Oryzias latipes: one gene and its partner. The protein of the gene in region 1 purifies or fractionates together with the protein of each later gene. This does not show direct contact. Links are inferred from orthologs where the notes say so. Each region holds a gene or a part of one and is shown on either strand. Other genes may lie near its edges.

The links.
Region 2: the proteins of gatad1 (region 1) and hdac2 purify together in Homo sapiens (affinity purification with mass spectrometry; 4 studies listed by BioGRID and IntAct, with this or other methods). This does not show direct contact. The link is inferred for Oryzias latipes from reciprocal best matches to the Homo sapiens genes GATAD1 and HDAC2.

What each region holds. Positions count from the first base shown.
Region 1 is NC_019869.2:23,121,622-23,125,764, forward strand, and holds gatad1 (GATA zinc finger domain-containing protein 1), read right to left. Parts: upstream 2,676-4,143; 5' UTR 2,579-2,675; coding exon 2,498-2,578; exon of another isoform or gene 2,405-2,497; coding exon of another isoform or gene 2,339-2,404; coding exon 2,225-2,338; intron 2,146-2,224; coding exon 2,023-2,145; intron 1,949-2,022; coding exon 1,889-1,948; intron 1,041-1,888; coding exon 857-1,040; intron 780-856; coding exon 589-779; 3' UTR 505-588; downstream 1-504. UniProt on the Homo sapiens protein: Component of some chromatin complex recruited to chromatin sites methylated 'Lys-4' of histone H3 (H3K4me), with a preference for trimethylated form (H3K4me3).
Region 2 is NC_019882.2:21,614,243-21,618,253, reverse strand, and holds the start of hdac2 (histone deacetylase 2), read right to left. Parts: upstream 2,813-4,011; 5' UTR 2,693-2,812; coding exon 2,638-2,692; intron 439-2,637; coding exon 326-438; intron 149-325; coding exon 31-148; intron 1-30. UniProt on the Homo sapiens protein: Histone deacetylase that catalyzes the deacetylation of lysine residues on the N-terminal part of the core histones (H2A, H2B, H3 and H4).

The sequences.
Region 1 (4,143 bases):
TTGACAGAACTTATTTTTTTGCAAATTCCGTATGTGGAAACCTCACTAACTGAAAATGTCAGCTAATAAAAAAAAAAAATTCTAAATAATTTAGCTTTAGTCTTCTTTACAGCTATTTCACACCGATAGGGCAACATTTTGTTTTACTGTGCAGATTTTATTGTTTATAAGTTAACATTTTTTATTAAAAGATATGCAACAATGTTGGCATCTTAAAGCTCAGAAGTAGCTCAGGAGCCGTGGCTCATGACCTTAGTGTTATCAGAACTATGAAAAAATATTAGACATGTTTCCTAAAAGGCTCAGAAATTTTATAAAAAGGTTTTTTTTGAGTGAAAATAAAAGCTAGAAACCATAAAAGCCCAAAAGTGCTGATAAAGTCAAAAACCTCCCTGTGAGGGGGAGGGTCTACTTTCCTCCTGCAACTTAGAAAATCAAGAAATTTCAAATAGTCTTTTTGTTATTTTGTTATGTTTTTAAAGAATTAAAGTCGTGAGATGAGAAATGAAAAACAAAAGTTGGTTTTATTTACAAATACAAACATGTACATACTCTGCATAATTACAATTATTTTACCAATACTGTTTGTTAACTGGTGGTGCTGATAGACTCTTTGACAGTGAATGCTGGTGAAGGTCCTATATGGGTCCAAATGTAGCCTTTTTCAGGACATATGGGGATAGTGGGAAACGGGGAGCTCTGGGACTTGAAATACTCAGAGGGTGCATGGCACACAAACTCAAGGTACTCCATCTTTCTGGGCAGATCTTCCTCTGGACCTGGAAAACAACACATGATGCTTAACCCAAGACCAGAAAATCACTTAAGAAATATGTTATTCTGTAGGAGTTCTCACCGACAATGTAAGTCCCAGGATCAAACCTGTCCTTTGGGCTGGCCTGGGTGGGAATGAGCCACGTTAGTGCTGCACTTTTTTCGCAGTACTGGTCCTGCACAAATCCTCGAATCTGAGCATAGTAGGGCTTCCCGTCATCCTCATCTATCACCTTGATCACATCACCTGTCTGGTAGTAAACCCCCTGTATTTGTGAAGAGATGTTAAAAGAAACAAAAACATAGACAGTAGTCGGCATGCAACCTTCAACGCTAAAAGTGCCATTTGGGTCGATTTCTCACTGAACCCAACAGAATCCACAAAATCTCACTTCACCCTTAAAAATATTTATTGATGTCATTATTATTATTATGATAAATATAAATGAACTGTTGCTTTTTTGGGCAGAAATCAAACAAACAAAGATAAAATAGCCTTTTTAAAACAAATGAAACAGTTTAAACTTTTGACAGAAGTTCACATGAATTCCTTTCAAAATAAAAGACAGCCGGTGTCATATAGAATCATCTCAATGCAATAAGGGTATTGGCGTATTGTTAGCAGTGATAAAAAACAAAACAAAAACAACACATTATTTTATCGCTTGTGGTGAATCTCAGCCATAAATGTGTAAATCCTAACCAACCATAATTAAATCAGAGCTAATTAAGTGAACCTTACCATATTTTTCAAACGTAAACAAATTTAAAATCATTCAATTTGTTCAAAAATCCTCCCTAATTGTGCTTACTGACCTCCAATTGATTTTCTGCAGTACACTGCGCTAAAAAAAACTGTCAAAAATGTTTTTGATATGTACTGTCCTTCAACTGTTTGTGGATGAGTTGAATAAAGTTTGTGTAAGTTTACTTTCCTACTTATTTATAATTATTTTTTACATTACAGTTATATTTTAAAATCACAACGTTATTTTTCTTTAATCAGAGAGCCACAGTGGAGGGGTAAAAGAGCAACCTGTGGCCCCGGAGCCACAGGTTGCAGACCAACAGTATAACACGGACAAACAAATGATTGGAATAATAATCACAATACCTTATAAAATACAGATTCTGAAGTGACGATCGTTGCTACAGATTCAGGAGCTTTGATTGGCTGTGGGGAAGAGTTTACAGGTTAAAATAAAAGATGACAGGAAGAATGATTTTTGGTTATTTTTTTTAACTGACATTTTTTAGTTTGAAAATATGTCTCCTTCCTTTTCCTTTTGTTGACACTTTCTTCTCAGAAGCAGGAGCTTTGTATTTGGTACTTCTCAGCCGCGCAGACCTCCGGTGTATCTCCTGCTTGGACTACAAAGAAACAGACGTGGTTTGATGCTGAGCAAAGGAGAAGTTGCTGGGAGTTTGAGTCCTCCTTTGACTGACTGACCTGCTTCCCTCCGCCATTACTGGGCTGAGCGCTGAATGACATGGAAGGTCCTGCCGCCGTGGCGCTGCTGCTCTTCCCCGTGCAGTTATTGCACAGGATCTCCCCTTGGCTTCCCTTTTTCCACATGGAGGAAGAGTTCGTCTTACACGCAGCACAACACGGTTTCAAACCAAGCGGCATTTTTTTTTTTTTCAGGAAAACGACGCCGACGTAGTACGAAGGAAACTAGAGGAAGATGCTCGATTCACCCTAAAAATGCTAACAACTACTCACTAATCTTTGTTCAGCAGATGTCACAAAATGTCTGGTCTTCCGAGAGATCAATTGCAAACATTTGTCCAAAATAACTGCCATCCATTGTAGCAATTAAACGTAGTCGCTCAACTATTGTTTTTACCGGATATTAGCTTCGCTCTTTGTCTGCAATTTAGGTTCGGTCGGTTAACCGTCTAATTTTTGCGCTACCGCCACCTAGTGGACACGTGTGAAGCACAGTCCGATTTGTCTAACTTTTTAGTTATAGTGCTTGTGAAACTGAATAAAAACTGCATTTTAAAAACTATTTTTCGTCCAAAATAAAAATTTACAAGTAGATTTAATTTATGCTGCAAACATTTTACAGAGCTTTGATTAACTTAAATCCAGTTTTTCCACAATTTGCTGTCTAGTAGGGGTGTAACGATTTACTTTTACAAAAATGTAATTCATGACATTTTTAGTTGCTGCAGTGATCCGATTCACTGACCTAAAATGGATCCAGGAAAGCTAAAACTTGTACCAGTGTCACTCAGAGAGAAATACCTGGGTACCGGACAGTGCAAATGAAGTTTTCCAGGTTCCTTGAATTTCTTGCAAGCTAATAGAGTGTAAATAAATTTGTGTGCAAACAAACAAGTAAACAAGAATTTATGAAAAATCCATTCACATTTTAGTTTTCTAAAGTTTAGCCCACTTTTGTTTTTTCCAAATTAAAATAATACAAAGGGACTATTATTATAACATTCTACCATACTGTATGGTCACATGTCTTTGCTAAATTTATAAGTGTTTCCATACAATAGACTGGAATGACTGACTGATCAGTTTTTGCTGACATCATATCTAGCTTTTACTAGATAGATAGATAGATAGATAGATAGATAGATAGATAGATAGATAGATAGATAGATAGATAGATAGATAGATAGATAGATAGATAGATAGATAGATAGATAGATAGATAGATAGATAGATAGATAGATAGATAGATAGATAGATAGATAGATAGATAACTTTATTAATCCAACAATGGGGAAATTTCATTTATCTGTGGCAGCAAAAACGACATTCAGAAATAATCTATATAATATAACATCAAAAAAGGACATCACAAATGACATTCATATTAAATAGTTAAAATTATTATTACAATTATTAGGAAAATTATTATCAAAAATGAGATTCTTATTAAATAAATAAATATTAAATAAATACAGCTGCAAAAGTGTATAAAACATGTGGTCTGCAAAACATGTAATCAACTGTAAAAAACATGTAAAAACTTTTTTTTTTTTTTTTTCAAAATACAGAAATAAGTAATGAAGTTCACACCAAAAACAAAGAACTGTTCAGGAACAAAAACAATTGAAAATTGAAAAACAACAACTACAACAAAAGAAAATGAATAAATTAAGAAAATAAATAAAGTGAAATAATTACATATCGATTTATTGCGTTTTAAAATGATTTAATAATAGTATTGGCCGATTTGATTGACAACTTTCTATGTAACAGATTACGGGCTGTGACAAAATGAGGAAAGAAGTTTATATTGTTGGAAGGAACCGATAATGGGAAAACATCCTCTTAAACAAAAAGCAGAAGAGGGCAAGAACAACATAGCAAATAACAGCACTATAAACAAGTAAAAATTATATACA
Region 2 (4,011 bases), on another chromosome or scaffold:
TTTGTCTGAACGTCAACAGAGCCCACTCACAGCGCTGCATCTGCTTGCTGAACTCGGACATGTTGTCTGGCCGTATGGATCTGAGGAACTTGATGTAGTCGTCACTGTGGTATTTGGTCATCTCGTCTGCGGTGGCTTTGTGTGGCCTCTGAAACCAGGAGAAAGGTGGAAGGGAAGAAACCAGAACTGAATGAAAGCAGGAGCGAACACAGAACTAAGAGCAAACCGCCAAGCTAAATCGACGTTTCCTAATGTCTGAAGTCTGCTGAGGATCAGGTCACATGGAGACACGCTCCTCACAGCAACAGAGCACAGGAAAACATACATAGATCTCCATTTTTCTGTAGAGGCCATAGTTCAGGAGGAGGTTGTGAGTCATGCGGATCCGATGTGGCTTCATGGGGTGTCCTTGTCCATAATAGTAGTTTCCAACATCACCTAGACACAAGAAAAACACAAAATCAATGATGCAGATTGCCAACATTAGCTCCACCAGCTTTTCTGATTCAACTGTTGGCATCTGTGTTGTTCCAACAGAGAACATGAGCAGCAAACGACAGAGGAAGACAACTCAGAGCACTGATCTGTGGAACAACCGAAGCTTCAGAACGATGACTCACATCCTCACCGTTATTTATTACTGCTCAGTAAACAAACCAGGAACAGTTTACAGCAGACAGAAAACGGGACTGATCCCTGTCCAACAAACTGGACCCTCCCAACCAAAATGTACTCTGACATCTCATAATGTCAGTTTATTCTTTACATTATGATTTCAGTCAGATTATTAAAATATGAAACCGCTCTAAACAAGTGCCAGTTCTAATGGGCTGAACTTTTATGACACTTATGTTCACGAAGATCTACATCTGCATCAGTAATCTAGTCATTTCAAAGTGATGTGCACGTCATTAGTGCACGTGGGACTGCTCTAAGCTAAATGTGACCGCAGAAAAAGGTGAAGTGAATTGCTTAAATGAACATGGTGTTTTTAACACGTTCTGGCAGCATTATTCTGAATATGAAGAAAATTAAACAGAAAATTGAATTTCCGAGTATTTCTTTGTTCAAACTGTTGTGAGTCAGGAGCGGATAAAAAATATGCAGTTGGGAATAGCTATAAGCAAGCCCCAAGCTCCCTGTTCTGTTCCACTCTAAAGGCCTGTTCACACCGGGACGAATTTCGCCGGCGATTTTCGCCGACGTTTAACGCCTCGTGACTAAACAAAGGGCACCAACGAGAGTGTGCACATCGACGCGAAAAAACGCCAGGCGTTAAAGCGTCCAAAAAAAAACGCCTCGGGTTCGTTTTTTTTTTCCGACGAAATCTACTCGACCAATGAGAACGGCGCTTTTGCTCACGTGTCTGGAGCTTCTGAAGTTACAGTAAAACACAACTTGGGGGCGCTCAAACACAAAACTGCCTTGCTGAGCACACATACCAGCGAAGAAGATAGACGCCAAGTAGCGTCTACACAGCCGCGAAGCAATAATGACGGACATTCTAAAACATCCCCGAACCAAGCACCAGTTGGAGCTACTGGTGCTTGAAATATTCATGTTTTCTTTGTTTGATTCTGACAAGCGTGTAAAAACTTGCTCTCTTCTTCTGAGTGAAAAGCGACTTTAAGAAGCGTAAAGTTGCGCAGCGCCACCTTGTGTACAGGAGTATTTCAGTTTTACATTAAGCGCCATCTAATGTCAGGGAATGAAATTGCATGTTCACTCCACTCATCGTCAGCGAAAATCGCCTGGGTGTGAACACAAAAAACGTGGCGAAAAACGCTGGCGAATAACGCCTGGCGAATATTCGTCCCGGTGTGTACGGGCCTTAAGGCATCCACCTGCAGACTAATGGATCCATGAACGTCTTTGTTTTCCTCGTCTGAGCTGGAATCGGGATAGATCTGATATTGGCCATCTTTTTTGTTGCACTGCTAATGTGAGGATGGGGTTGTGAGGGGCTGTAAGCTAGTGGTAGAGTAGAGTGTAAACGGGGGGGGGGGGGGGGGGTGCTCTGCATCAACAGTCCCACCCACAACTCAGAGGTTAATGCTCTGCAGAAACTATGTCCCAGAAAACAACACAGGTTTTTGATTTAAAAAAAAATAATAACTTAAAGCGATCGGACACGCTTGTGTTTGGACCTGAACGCAGGTTTAGAGCCACCCGGGGCTTCTGCAGACGGTCACGTGACGTGTAGGTGAGCCAGGCCGCGCGTGCTCGTCTGGAAGCAGTAGAGGCTGCCAGTCGTGTGTTCTGTGGATGGTTGCATTGTGGGACGGCAACCTCGTTAAAGACGTTAAAAGCTTTTCTCCTCATACGTTCCCGGATGTGGGTTCTCCTCGGTGGGATCTTGAAAGATCACAACAGAACGCCGGCTGAACTGCCTGGGTCTCAAACAAGACTGACGTACGTAGCCGTAACTCACACAACGAGGGGTGGAGACAGACGTGAGGCGCCGGCTACTTAACGTACAGTGCCCCCCTCAGATGTTGGCTTTACACCGTTTCAATGAAGCAGAAAAGACTTTAGCCCCGGAGAAATGAGTTCCGACCGTAACTGACCGATGCTAGCACATGCTCGATGCTAACAGCTAGCGTTAGCCTGGCTCGTGCGCCACACAGCAGCTCTTACCGTCGTAGTAGTAGCAGACCTTCTTCTTAGTTCCACCTGCAACCGTGTACGCCATGCTACAAGCTCCTTTAGCTCCACAGGTGAGGCTCAATTCGCGTTAACAGAAAGACAAGAGCTGGATGGAGAACATCTGCACGGCGTCGCTGAGTGGGAGGGGCTACGTGGGCTGGGCGGGGCAAGGTTGGGCTCCGCCCCTGCGCCCCACTTTAAGTTTCTTTGTCCTTGTTCTTTTGTTTTGCGTCTTTGGGGCAGGGCATCAACACATGATATGTGGATTGCCAGTTCTGTCTGTGGTAGTCTAGCCATGCCACCAGGAGATCATTTTAGTACAAGACTCTGCAACCTTCTACCCCAGTTTGAGCCTCTTCCTTCTGACAGACTCAGAGTCGCACAGCCCCACTTCACACTCAATTCATGCTTCAGGCACGTGAAAATCTCCTTTATCTGGACTTTGCTTTGCACTGTTGAACCTTATTTAAATTTGTTCTTCACCTCTGCTTCTTCAACTCCTCCCTCAAAGCCACAAAGCCCTTTTTTTTTTACTTACACCACTTGGTCCTCTGCTCTGGCCTTGTCCTCGTCTATGGAGTGATTTATGTGTCCCATTATTCCAAGCGTACTTGAAATACTTGAAATATTTTGTGTGCTCAAAAATATTTTGCACTTGAAACATAAAAATGCACTTGAGACTCAAAAATAAGTGCAAACAAAACAGTTTTACTCTTGAAACCTAAAAATATGTCCAATCAAAACAATTCTCTATGTGTCACAAAAGCCAGTTAATCACAGACATGGGCATAAAGTTTGATGCCGATTGGTCAGAAATTCTTCCAATCGCACACAGACCTGATCCAGTCTACGAGCCGTCTAAAGTCTACAGTTTTTGGGTTTTCTGGCCCGTCAAGAGTCGTAGAGAGGAGTGGCTGCTCCTTAAGATGTCTTGTAGTTCCCTTGAGGCTTGCACAACCACCTTAAAGGTTATTGTTTTGCATTTCGTAAGTACATGGTGAAGTATTTGTTAGGATAATGGAAGTTACAAACTGATGAGGTATGGGTGTTCTTGCTCAGGGGGGCGGAAAAAATGAAAAATCAACATGAAATGCCTGTGTCTTACATACTTCACCTGTGCCTGCCGTTGTGTGTTGTTAAAGTACCTGACGACCTGCCGCCCGCACCAGCCCGTAGAAAAACTGAGCATGAACATTCACTGAGTGGTCTACAATCTTGAAATTTCGTGCGGGCCGCCTGCTTGTCTCATACAGATTTGGCCCTTTTTCATCTGCAGACAGCCCGTGCCCACCCCTAAGAGCAGTTGGGACTAAGGCTTTAGCTTTCTCTTCTCAGCATCTACAGTCAAACTGGAGATTATTCATC